Bombyx mori: one gene and its partners. The protein of the gene in region 1 interacts with the protein of each later gene in a biochemical or structural test. Links are inferred from orthologs where the notes say so. Each region holds a gene or a part of one and is shown in the gene's direction. Other genes may lie near its edges.

What was found.
Region 2: the proteins of merlin (region 1) and spectrin beta chain form a complex in vitro, tested with the Homo sapiens proteins (2 studies listed by BioGRID and IntAct). The link is inferred for Bombyx mori from reciprocal best matches to the Homo sapiens genes NF2 and SPTBN1.
Region 3: the proteins of merlin (region 1) and protein mahjong form a complex in vitro, tested with the Homo sapiens proteins (3 studies listed by BioGRID, with this or other methods). The link is inferred for Bombyx mori from reciprocal best matches to the Homo sapiens genes NF2 and DCAF1.

What each region holds. Positions count from the first base shown.
Region 1 is NC_085122.1:2,607,208-2,611,615, reverse strand, and holds the start of merlin, read left to right. Parts: upstream 1-1,464; 5' UTR 1,465-1,702; coding exon 1,703-1,789; intron 1,790-4,408. Other genes in the region: RRP12-like protein, read right to left, coding at 320-572, 781-916. UniProt on the Homo sapiens protein: Probable regulator of the Hippo/SWH (Sav/Wts/Hpo) signaling pathway, a signaling pathway that plays a pivotal role in tumor suppression by restricting proliferation and promoting apoptosis.
Region 2 is NC_085124.1:11,160,254-11,164,650, reverse strand, and holds the start of spectrin beta chain, read left to right. Parts: upstream 1-1,523; 5' UTR 1,524-1,883; intron 1,884-4,397. UniProt on the Homo sapiens protein: Fodrin, which seems to be involved in secretion, interacts with calmodulin in a calcium-dependent manner and is thus candidate for the calcium-dependent movement of the cytoskeleton at the membrane.
Region 3 is NC_085130.1:15,862,292-15,865,945, reverse strand, and holds part of protein mahjong, read left to right. Parts: intron 1-1,188; coding exon 1,189-1,308; intron 1,309-2,503; coding exon 2,504-2,595; intron 2,596-3,654. UniProt on the Homo sapiens protein: Acts both as a substrate recognition component of E3 ubiquitin-protein ligase complexes and as an atypical serine/threonine-protein kinase, playing key roles in various processes such as cell cycle, telomerase regulation and histone modification.

The sequences.
Region 1 (4,408 bases):
TACTTAAAGTATGAAATGAAAAAAGATTAAAAGAGATTTTTTTAAGAAGAACATGTCCTAAGTTTCATCTTAGAATTATAATTCAGTATTCCACTGAATTCCAAATAATTTCTATTCCAAGTAGTTTTCCAAATAATTCCTAGTCATGACTATTTAAAGTCATAACTAAAGTGCATATAAAGGCTTACTTAAGTAATTATCCACATTTTGTATTTTATTTTCAATATCACATTAGCAATTGTGAGTATAGAAACCTGTTTTCAGGTACTGTCTCAAATACTGCAATAAAATTAAAATATCTATTTAAACTTTAACTTACTTATGAAAGCTGATATTTGAACATTGACTCCAATCAGATGCAAATGTTTGAAATGTCTTAAATGTTCCTGATCTTAATGTACCAGAGTATTCAGACTCTGATCCCTCGTCTCCGGTCTTGACCGACATATTTTCAAGCTCTTTTACTATGGTCAGTTCATTTTCAGCATCTGATTTTGTTTTGTTAGTTTTATGTCCATATGTCATCATAGCTTCATGCTTGGACACCGCTTGCTGTGTTAAGCCAGTGCTGCCTGTAGAAGTTAATTAGAGGAGTCACTTATAAGGAAATTATCTTAATTTTAACATAAAAAGTATGAGATTAGTTAATTTAGTCATGTTCTAGGTTATGATTTTATAAGGAAATTTTACTTTGAAATTACTGTTCAACAACTTTTTGTGATGTTTATAAATCCGTTTTTCCATAACGAATGATTTTGAGAAGTTTTAGAGAGAACATACCTAAGTTTTCCTGAAAAAACCGGGATTTTGCCATCTCCCTGTATTTTTGAATTTTCGGGTTCGAATTTGATGACTGTCCTTTCTGCCATCGTTTCCCCTTCGTTTTGCCTTTAAGTTTTGATCTAAATTTACCCATTTTAGTATTTCATAACAATATGCAAATGAAAGATGTAACACACGTGGGGAAAAAGTGTTCAGTGTTTTGATTGAAAATAATGACAGCAAGCCAATGAAGTAGGAAATAGGTCTATGCAGCAAGCAAAATGAAATAGTTGTCAAATTACTGTCAAACGTCAAACACATTCTTTCTAGGCAAAATGGATAATGAACGCAAGTCTTATCCTGCAAAGTAAAACTGTTTCAATTAGATTTAAGAGTAGTTAGAAATACTGTGGATCACATCTAATCGGGGTCGAGAGCTGAAGTTTAGAGTTAGGTAAACTACGGAATAAAAACATTACTTAAAAAATATTAGATTAATTAAATATCTAAAAAATAATAATATTAAAATAAACTATTTCAGTTCAGGAATCAACCGCAACATTTTATTAAACTAATATCACTTCATTGAACCCATTGTCCGATTTTTTCTTTCATTTTTCAAATCCATATTACGTTTCGTTATACGTGACCTAAACTTCATTTCAATGACCAGTCCGATGTATTTTAAAGTAGAATGGAACGTTTACCTTTCAATAGGTTTTTCATTCACCTTCGCATTGCTTGTTTCATTGACGTTTTTCTTGTTTGTAAATAATAACCGCTGGAAATAGTACGCAATGTGAAATTACACGCATTCCTTTATCGAGTGTTCATTACGTAAACGGGAGACGTTGCCGTGTAATTAGTTAAATGCTAGTTGAAAATTCATAACCTCGGTGGTGTTTCGTGATTCTTGTAAACGAGAAATGATATAAGAATAATGCCGCCCTTCCGGAGGAAGAAAGCTGCTAAATCTTTTCCAGTTAAAGTATGCACATTGGATGCTGAATTGGAGTTCAACCTCGAGGTAAACTGTATTTTCTGTTGTGGTAAACCTTTTTGTTTACACTATTTCCATTTAGTAGGTACTAAGTATTCATCCGATCGTATTATGAGTCATGCGGAGGCGCCCTGCACTTGTTAATTGATGATATTAATGAACATTGCAAGTACTTTGTATGTTGAGGGTATAATGATCATATCTTCTATGACTCTTATCTGTTTGACCACATTGCTTAATAAAAATGTCATTATAAATAATAATTATCTTTAAATTTTTACCATGTATGTAAGGTTGCTCGCGTTAAATATTTAAGTTTTGAAATTTCTTCATGATGATGATTTCTTTTAAAATGATTTGATTAAAAAACATAGAAATATAATATTCAGAAATTTAATTAAAAAGTTTGTTTGGATTAATGTTTTCATTTCCTAAATATTAGAAACACTAATGTAATTTTAAAAATTAAAGAGTGTAAAAACAGAAGTCATTTTATATTAATTATAATAAATATCTTTAGAATGTGTAACTTTAGACAGTTTTTAAAAGCAAGCTAAATATGTAAACTTGAATATCACATATATTTGGATGTATATAATTTTTTTAACAAAGAAGTTTCTACTATACTTAACATTGTAAATGCTGTATATTTTGTGTGAAGATTAATGAGTTCCTTTGACATTATAACATGAGTTATCACTCAACTGAATGTCAAAGATTAAATTTTATCAGAAATAGTACAATGAAGTCTCAACATAAAAGAATATGTTCAGCCATTGTGCCAATAGCAGCTCTAGCTAACAGCTCCACTCTAAGAGACCTGTGATTTGATGTCGTCGTGGCCTAAAGGATAAGACGTCCAGTGCATTTGTGTTGAGCGATGCACTGGTGTTCGAATCCCACAGGCGGGTACCAATTTTTCTAATGAAATACATACTTAACAAATGTTCACGATTGACTTCCGTAGTGAAGGAATAACATTGTGTAATAAAAATCATACCTGCAAAATTATAATTTGTGTAATTACTGGTGGTAGGACTTCTTGTGGGGCCGTGCGGGTAGGTACCACCACCCTGCCTATTTCTACCGTGAAGCAGTAATGCGTTTCGATTTGAAGGGAGAGGCAGCCGTTGTAACTATACTGAGAACTTAGAACTTATATCTCAAGGTGGGTGGCGCATTTACGTTGTAGATGTCTATGGGCTCCAGTAACCACTTAACACCAGGTGGGCTGTGAGCTCGTCAAACCATCTAGGCAATAAAAAAAAACTTAATAAACAAACATTACTATACATTATTGTATTCGAAAATACATTCTAAACATCACTAACATTAGTGACAGTGTTGATGAATTTTCTTTCTAAGTTAGTGTTAAGAGTCGTCACTAATATTGAAAGAATAAAATATTTGTATTATATAATGTATATGTATTAAAAGCGTATATATATATATTATATGTATATAAATAATAACAGTAAAAATATTGAGTATAATTACAAAATACATTATAATTAAGGATAAATAAGAGCATTATTGTATTGTTGAATTGTTTATTAATATTAGTAAATTATATTTCCTTAATTGCATGGTAGAGGTAAATTGTAATAATAAATTAAATCATGCCTAAAATTTCACCACATCAAAGCTTTCTGTGGGTGTCAGAAAAGGCAACTCGAAGATTGACCAGAGAACAGCCAGTATAGTTCCCTTAGTTGTATACCAACATAACATGGTTTACAGTAGTATTAGAGCATATTGTAGGCCCTATCTAGTAGGCACCATGATCCTCCCTAATTCTGCTACTTAGCAATGATGTGCTCCTGTTTGAAGGATGGGACCGCTGTTATATAGTTAAGAGTAGTCAAGAAATTTACTGAACAGGATTTATAACCTTGCTATTGCTGAATAGACAAATGGAATGAAAAGGACAATCTACTTCTAACCAGAAGAACTATGTTTTAAACTATAATAAGATGGCTGAATAATTTGTCATTGAATTTTTTTACATAAATTAAAAAAGGGATATGTTACTTGATCAAGGTTTTGTTTCTTACTTTTACAATTTTTATTATTTAATAATATTAAAATGATAACGCACCCTTAACCCTAATAATCAGTAGACTAAATCACGGTTCACCGAAGTTAAATCTTTACCAAAGCCCATTTATTATAAATGTGACTGTCACCGCCCACCTTTAGATTTATGGTTTGGTTAGATTCTGTTTAATTGTGTTTGACATCACATAGAAAACGAACAACAACAAAGCTACAAATATTCATTTTTATATCTGTAGAAGATAATGTATTCCTTACAAAATAACACTATTAGCATGTTATTCTTATCATTCAAATTCCATTGTATGATAACATGGCGATGCGTAGTTTTGCTAATTAAAATGCTTACAATTATTTAGAACGTTGTTTTTTAAATAGCTGCTAATAAGGGAATTTAATTTATTTGACTTAATTTTTAACTTAATTTATTTGATTTATTAATATTGTTACGCGCTGGGGTTCGGGATAAATAAAATTCCACTAAAGTACAACTTAAAAACTGTATTCAACACTTAAAACGCTTAAACACATTACAAACACGTTAAAATTCTCAGTTCGCTTCGCTTCGCTTCAGGTGATCCGTTCGCTGTT
Region 2 (4,397 bases), on another chromosome or scaffold:
GACCGGTGCTTGTGGTGCCTAAGAGCACCGTTAATGGATCAGGAGGATCCGTAATGACGTGCTTTGGGCGACGTCGACGGTTTACCATTCGGTCTACTGGGTCGGGTATGTAATTTCCAGCGGCTACGATGAGAGGGTTCTCATGTCGTGCCGCCTTCTCAAAATGGCGCAGCGATGCCGACTGTAGATACTTACTGACAGAGTCAAGCTCCAGGTCATCGTGGAGATCCACGTTCCTCAGGAACCATGGTGCTCCGACGGCTATCCTGCAGAATCGGGATTGAATAACCTGAAGGGGCTTCAAGTTGGTGCGGGTTAGTTCCATACTTAGAATGGAGAAGCACGAGGAAGATAGCAATCTTCTTTCCACGTACCTACTAATTTAAGGGCCACACGGGCCATTTACTATCCACAAACTACTGCCACTGCCATCTATCGAATTGAAAGGAAAATTTTCAAACTAGTCCATGCTCATCTTTTATAGTCTGTGATAATGTATTGATCTGTGGTCTTTGATGACTGCATAGCAAAGAAAATTAGCGAACATCAATTTATTTGTTTCAAATATGTAAATAAAATTGAAGTTTCTCTAAAGGTTTAGAAAATTTAAAAGCTTTTTTTAACATTTCATTTTATTCAAATCGGTTAACTTTTTAAGTCATAAATTCGTTTTTTTTTCTTTTGCCCCTCACTAAGATATAAGAATGTTGCGATGACATCACTTTCTCAAAGAGTGATTAGAAGAGATTGGATAAAAGATATTTCAGTTAATGCTATTTACAATGTCGTTTAATGGATCAAATAAGTTTATTATTGAAATAATCTAGTTAATTAAATTAAACTATTATAATTAAATTATAATAATTAAATTAAACTAGATTAATTAATATTTAAAAAAAACATCAGATAATGTTTGAAACATTGTTTCTACGGCCCAATATTTTTTTACCAAATAGAAACTCTAAACTGTTGAATTAACGTGTCCCAAAATTTAGATTGAAACAATGGTTATTTTTTAAGACTTCAGTAGACTTTTTGGAAGAACCAAGAAGCCACGTCCAGCGGATTTAATTCATTGTCCCATACTTATGTACTACAACAGATGCTAAACGGTTAATAAGCTAAAAATGTTATACGTTGAAACTTTATGAAACGCTAAATAAATAAACGAAAACAATTTATACAACTTCGTCCTTCGCGTTCCTACTAAAAGTCCTTAGGTCCTGCTTAACTGATAGAGTATGTTTGTGGGGACATAAAATAGGTTTAAGGGACAGAGTTAAGGAGAAGATAAGCCCAGAATATAAAGTACTGCTAAAAATGGAAGATGTTGACTTAATAACTAATCAATAGCTAGAGAATCGGAGACATTCTAGCTAGTAACCGAACAAATTGTTCTTGCGTAAACTCTTTCCCTGACTTCTATAGTCAAAATTTAGTAAATTTACTACCTATGTAACGAACTAAATATACTATTGCTGCTAATATGATAAAATTAATAAATGCACTTCTCGAGCTATTTACTCTGTGATATGGGCGGACCGAAGTTGGTTGGCTTTTGGTTTTCGCCGAATATATTAAGTGTATAATCTATGGTTTTCGCGGTCGGTCTTTCGCTTCGCTCGATGCCGTGTTCGTACTCGTATTCACGGATGATAGTACAAGTCGTTTTTACATGATTAACGGCTACATAAAAGTTTCAGACAAAAAGTGAACTGTGTTATGTCAAAAAACTGTTTTCATAGTGTAAGTGGCGTGGAATCCTATTTATTAGTTCTCAGACGGCTGACCGCCAACTCGCGTATTCTAGTGTATTTAGTGTGCTGACGAATTTTATGTGCTTGACTGTGCTGTAATAGCATACCTTGGACTCGCAGGAGAACGTAAGTTCTAAAACAATTTATATGTAATATCATGTTTTATTCGTAAAACGTTTATTGTCAACGAAATATTATTGAGAATCATTCGAAACAGTTATTTAGGCCAACTCTATTTAAGCCCATTTCTTTTATTTTAATGAAAAATATTCATCTGTAATTTGTACCCAGTACTGTTACTAATTTATTATAATGTTTCATAAACTTCTTAATAGTCAGATGCAATTGAGCTATTTGATAAAGACGCTTCCTTAAATGCCGTTAGTGAAAGCTAGTTATGGAATGTCTGAAGTTGTGTATAATTGGTTAAATTAAAAAAACAAATAATCGAAAAAACTAAATACGCCAATAGCTACCTATCGGTTGTACATTTGAAATTTTTCTAGGTCAAGAGATTAAAATCATATTTACCATCATAAACAAGACATTGGTCATAAACATAGTAATGAAAAATCGGATGGTTCATTACCATTAGTCCACTCTTATAGACATCTGGGTGGATCTCCGTTTACAGAACAAGATAAGAAATCAAAGTGGAACTGTTCCAAACATTCATGCTAGAAAAGTTCAAAATTCAAATATGGAAATAAATCTTCATGAGTAATTAAACAAAAATCAAGTAATTAATTAATAACTACCATTATCATAATTGAATGCATTAAAAATGATTCTAAAATTTGACCTTAATTGTCACCAAAAAGTTTTCCTTAACTAAAATTTAACAGTTTGATTTTCAAGTCGGTTGTTGATTATGTAGGACATCGTTTAATAAATATTGCATCATAACTGCAGTGCACTTAGTGCAGACTAACTGTGAGCAACAATGTGAGAGTGTTGATAAAATTACACTCTTAAGGATAATTTTAAAAATTTATTAAGAAATGTAAAGACAACTATTTGTCACTTGAACTACCTGGGACCTCCCCCAAAGTTCACCACAATGCCGGGTTCAGTGTAGTCTGCATCTAGCAAATTGCCACATCCTTCAATAATCCATACAACCACACACTTTAGAACACACTTTTTGAACTTTTTGGCCCTAGATGCCATCTGTTCTAGAGCCAATGTACCTTCCCAATATGCCAATATAATGTCACTTCAACCTCGTAATAATTGGGCTATATTGGTTATCACAGCTATTCTAGCTATACCTTCATTCTCCATTTAATCTCTCACAGAAATTATCCATTTCAATAAAACAAAAGAGATAATATGAGATTTGTAAAACATCCAACTAATCTTCAGACTGATTAAAAATATTGCTTTGAATGTTGGATAACTTTATTGTGGTGAGCTTCTTTCTTTTGGATCTTTAAAACCACATGCTGTATATATTCAGCTACTAATTTAGGTTTTTTTACATGCCAAAATAGATTAAACCATTTTCTGTTAATGTTTTAAGCTCCTCGCACCAGAGAATGCTCTTTAATATTTGGTAAGTATCTTTTACTGGAGAAATGTTTAATTGAGCTGTCATAGTTGAGTATATACAAGGATTTTGTCCATAGCCTCTAGATCAGAATCAGCGTATATTATATTTAGACAGACATGGCATTATGGTATTATTAATCCTTTGATTGCCGTGTAGGTTGCCAATACCCTACGTGGTGCACTGAAGTTCTTATGTCAATTTCTGTTACTAAGACACTGAAATGTCTAGTAAACTCTGGACAACTATGAATCCGAAGATACTAAGAATGAATCTATTTCAAATAGCCTAAAAGACTAAAATATATATTAAAAACAAAAGTTGACAATCCAGGCACTTGATAACTGTTTCAGTGCTCCAGATAGAGCACCAGTGACTTACATGCCAGTCAAAGGGTTCAGGGATCCCATTTGTCTCTACCATTTCATTAAAATTTTAATAATAATTATGTAATTGAAAATATATAAATTTCAAAATAAAAAATGGTTCGGTCGCATTCAGTAAATTAAAAAATGTGTTCCCGTCCAAAATCGCTCAGTGCCTTAAGAAACAGGTGTAAACTAATGTGTTTTACTAGTGATGACTTACGGTTCCAAGATGTGGTGCTTCACAAGGGATATTTGTAGGAAGCTTAGGGTCGCGCAGCGAGCTATGAAGAGGGCTATGCTTGGTATTACTCTACGAGACTGAATCAGAAATGAGATCTGTAGAAAAGCCAAAGTTGCTGACATAGCCTCTAGGATTAGCAAGCTGAAGTGGCAGTGGGCAGGCCACATAGCGCGGAAATTGAACGGCCATTGGGGTGGAAAAATCCTCGAGTGGAGACCACATACTGGCAAATGCAGTGTGGGACGGCCACCTAACAGATGGATCGACGACTGGTGAGAATCGCTAGGTCACGTAGAATACAGGTGGCAATGAACCAGCCGCACTGGAGATTGGTTGGAGAGGCCTATGTTCAGCAGTGGACAGTGAACAGGCTGAGATGATGATGATGTCAATTTTACTTATGTAATGTTTCGATGGTTAATATTACCTGGCTAGACTATACCTAATAATATAATATAATTTTAAATGGGTATAAATTGTCC
Region 3 (3,654 bases), on another chromosome or scaffold:
GTGTAGTCTTGGCGAAATCTGTAACAATAGGACCATAATAATGCTGAAACTTATAATTTCAATTAATTATAGTCGAATTTCGACTACTGCTGGACTACTACTTTTAATAAATTTGAATTAAAAATAATGTAAGAAAAAAAAATTTTATTGTAAAAAAGCGTGGGATGCTTTTCAGGATATTATAAAATAACCCTTCTACTCATATCTGTTCATAAAATATTTATAACTACTAATAACCATGCACCCCACGCTTGCTTTTTTTACATTAATCATTTTTCTAACACAATTTTTTTAGTTGAATTTCAATATTTTTTTTTTCAATTTTTTATATTGATTTGTCATCGGTCCATAATAAGTATACCAAATTTCGAGTTAATCCGATGTTTTGAAGGGGGGTCAAAATCATGTTCAAAGATTCCGTTACATACATACGTCTGAGGCTAATAAAACGTATTAAAAAAGGATTTGAACGGTGTAACGGTTTTAAAGTCGTCGTGGCCTAAAGGATAAGACGTCCGGTGCATTCGTATGTAGCGTTGAAACGGTGTTCGAATCCCGCAGGCGGGTACCAATTGTTCTAATGAAATACGTACTTATAGAGTAAGATCCCATGGCCCCCAGACGTCACGTATTTTCTGACGAACGAAATGTGGCCGATTGCGTAGTGTTAGTATGTACTAAGAATGCATGCCTACCTGCTAGCTTGCTTAGACGGTCAATTTTCAGGTATCAGATACTCAAGGTACATAAAATCATTACCTACTTCACGTATTTTCTGAAAGCTGATTTTTACGTATATTTTAGGCAATATCCTTAAAAATAAGTCGCCAATACTCCCAGACACTTTCCGTCGGCCGAATTGCTTTGCAGACGCTTTAAAGGGCCATCCCCTAAATTCAATTTAATACCTCTGTGGGTAAGAGCGGGTCTCAGTGGGTCGCGTTTCCGATCCGGTGGTAGATTCTGCGAAGCACGGCTCTTGCTAGGGTTCGTGTTAGCAACGGCGTCAGGTTAGAGACCCGTGAGCTCACCTACTAGTTAAGGCGACGCTGAAATGGTCTCTCAAGGCCAACAGCTTAGATAAGAAAAAAAAACACCCCGCTGGCAAAAGGCACGAACTTCTAATGTATGAGCAGTTAATATTCATACGTCTGTCTATTGTAATAAAGGTTAATTTCGTTTGTACAGCCGACGCAGCAGCAACTCCTGGCGGCCACCTCCTCGGGCGACATCCGAGTGTTCAATCTGTTCACGGGGGCCGAAGAGAACTCTTATCAAGTTCACGAATCTTACATTTATCATATGCAGGTTTGTGCTTTGTGATTCTTTTATTTTTTATTTTTTTATTACTTAGATGGGTGGACGAGCTCACAGCCCACCTGGTGTTAAGTGGATACTGGAACCCATAGACAGGTACAACGTAAATGCGCCACCCACCTTGAGATATAAGTTCTAAGGTCTCAGTATAGTTACAACGGCTGCCCCACCCTGCAAACCGAAACGCATTACTTCTTCACGGCAGAAACAGACGGGGTGGTGGTACCTACCCGCGCGGACTCACAAGAGGTCCTACCACCAGTAAGTTGTGACTTTATAGAAATGAGAGCTTTAATATATTTGTGAATATAGAGATGAGAACTTTTAACAAACTTTTTTAATGAATTAAAGACGGTTTGCTTAGAGAGGATATGTATGGAAATGACAACGCGAGGTAGAGGGCGAAGAGGTCGACCGAAGAAGACATGGATGGAGTGTGTGAATGACGATATGAGAGAGAGAGAGAGAAAGGAGTGAGTGTTGAGATGACGGCTGATAGAAGAGAATGGAATAGACAAATTCGCTGTGCCGACCCCACCTTGCGGGATAAGGTTTAGAAAAAGAAGAAGAAAGATGAGAACTTTAATAAATTTGTGACTTTAAAGATGAAGTTTTTTTTTTTTTTTTTATTCCCTTTGTAGGCAGACGGGCATACGGCCCACCTGATGGTGAGTGGTTACCGTCGCCCATGGACTTCAGCAATGCCAGGGGCAGAGCCAAGCCGCTGCCTACCGCTTAATACTCTCCATAAGCCTCGTTTGAAGAAGGACATGTCATAGCGCTCGGGAAACACCGAGTATAAGGAAAACAACCTCTTCACTATTTATCTATAATATATTATATATTAAAATGTTATTAAATGGAAAAATGTTTTTTTTAAATCTTTCATTATTAATAAAATGTAAGATATTATGTTAATGTCATCTGCAAGAACAATGAGAAAGTAATAACAAGCCATCTAGTGGTCAACGCCCGTAAACAGAATGTGTGAGAAACGACCTGGCTCGCGTCTGTTCTCTCACTCTCGCTCTTCCTAAATTGTATCTTTTCTCTCTAGCCGTAACGAATTTGTCGCGAGTTAAATGTTACTCTCAACGGGCCTAGAGAAGTTTCACTTCAAAAAAGTAGTTGCTCTCAGGAGCTGAGTTATGCTTATAATTATGAATCCATGCATATGCATCCACAGACAAGCAGAGACGGACTTCTGTTGCTAGCGTCAGCCACCACTCCTTGGAGGCCGCTCTCCGCCCTGTGGAACATGAAGGAGTTCGAACTGCTGTGAGTATTGCTTGTGGTGCTGAGGTTGGCAGGTGGACGGGGCGCACTCCGAGCCCGCACGTTCATGTCGCTAAGTCATGCACTGTATATGAATAGGAATGGAAGCTCTCGCTCTATGTGTAGTGGTATGTGTTCACAATTGCAAAGTTTTTAATTGAACATTCTCGGGATTTCATATGACATGTCCTTCTTCTAACGCGGATCGTGTACTTAAAGGTAGGCAGCGGCTTGGCTCTGCTGTCGTCCATGGGCGACGGTAACCACTCACCTACCGATGGTCTGTATGTTGTCTACACGGGTTGTATAAAACAAAGAATCCTTGATGAATACGACGTTTTGAAGTAATTTTTTTTAATATTTGATTTAAGTTCCCACTTTAAGCAGTCGGAGGCGATTGGATTGCTAATGAAATGTAAAACTACCTTAATTTCCCGTCTGAGCTACGATGTAGACAGAGACAGACTTATACGTCAATACGTTTTGTAGAGAACGAGACAGGATATCTCGAATCACAAGTCTATTGTTAATGTGGTCACCTCACAACCACCTAGACCAGTGATCGGCTAAACATAGATAACACCCAATGGCATGCGGTTGATTTAAAAGAAACGAGAACAGAGATACAAGAAAGAGTGTACTTTGTCCTTTTCTGGGCTAAAATTTAAATTTAATTTCGAATTTTTAAATTTTTGAAGTGAAAACTTCTTTAGAATCGTTGTGATTTCAAACCGGATGCAACGGAAAAAACGACAGGCAAGAGACACAAATACAAAAATGTGTAGGATGAAACCAGCAAAGAATGAGACAGAAATATACATACTATTTAATACAGCGCCATCTGTGAGATTTTTTAATACTAACGTCTGTATGAAAGCTCTTGTAGTGAATTTTAATTTAGGATTATACGTGAAATTAAAATATCAATTCACAGAGGGCGCTACCTTACAATTATTTACTAATGACAAAATTTTACATATACTTAAGACGTTTAGGATAATTGTATTTTAATTTTGGAAGGTTTCACTTCTACCACGTGTGAATTGCACACATTTTGTTTTT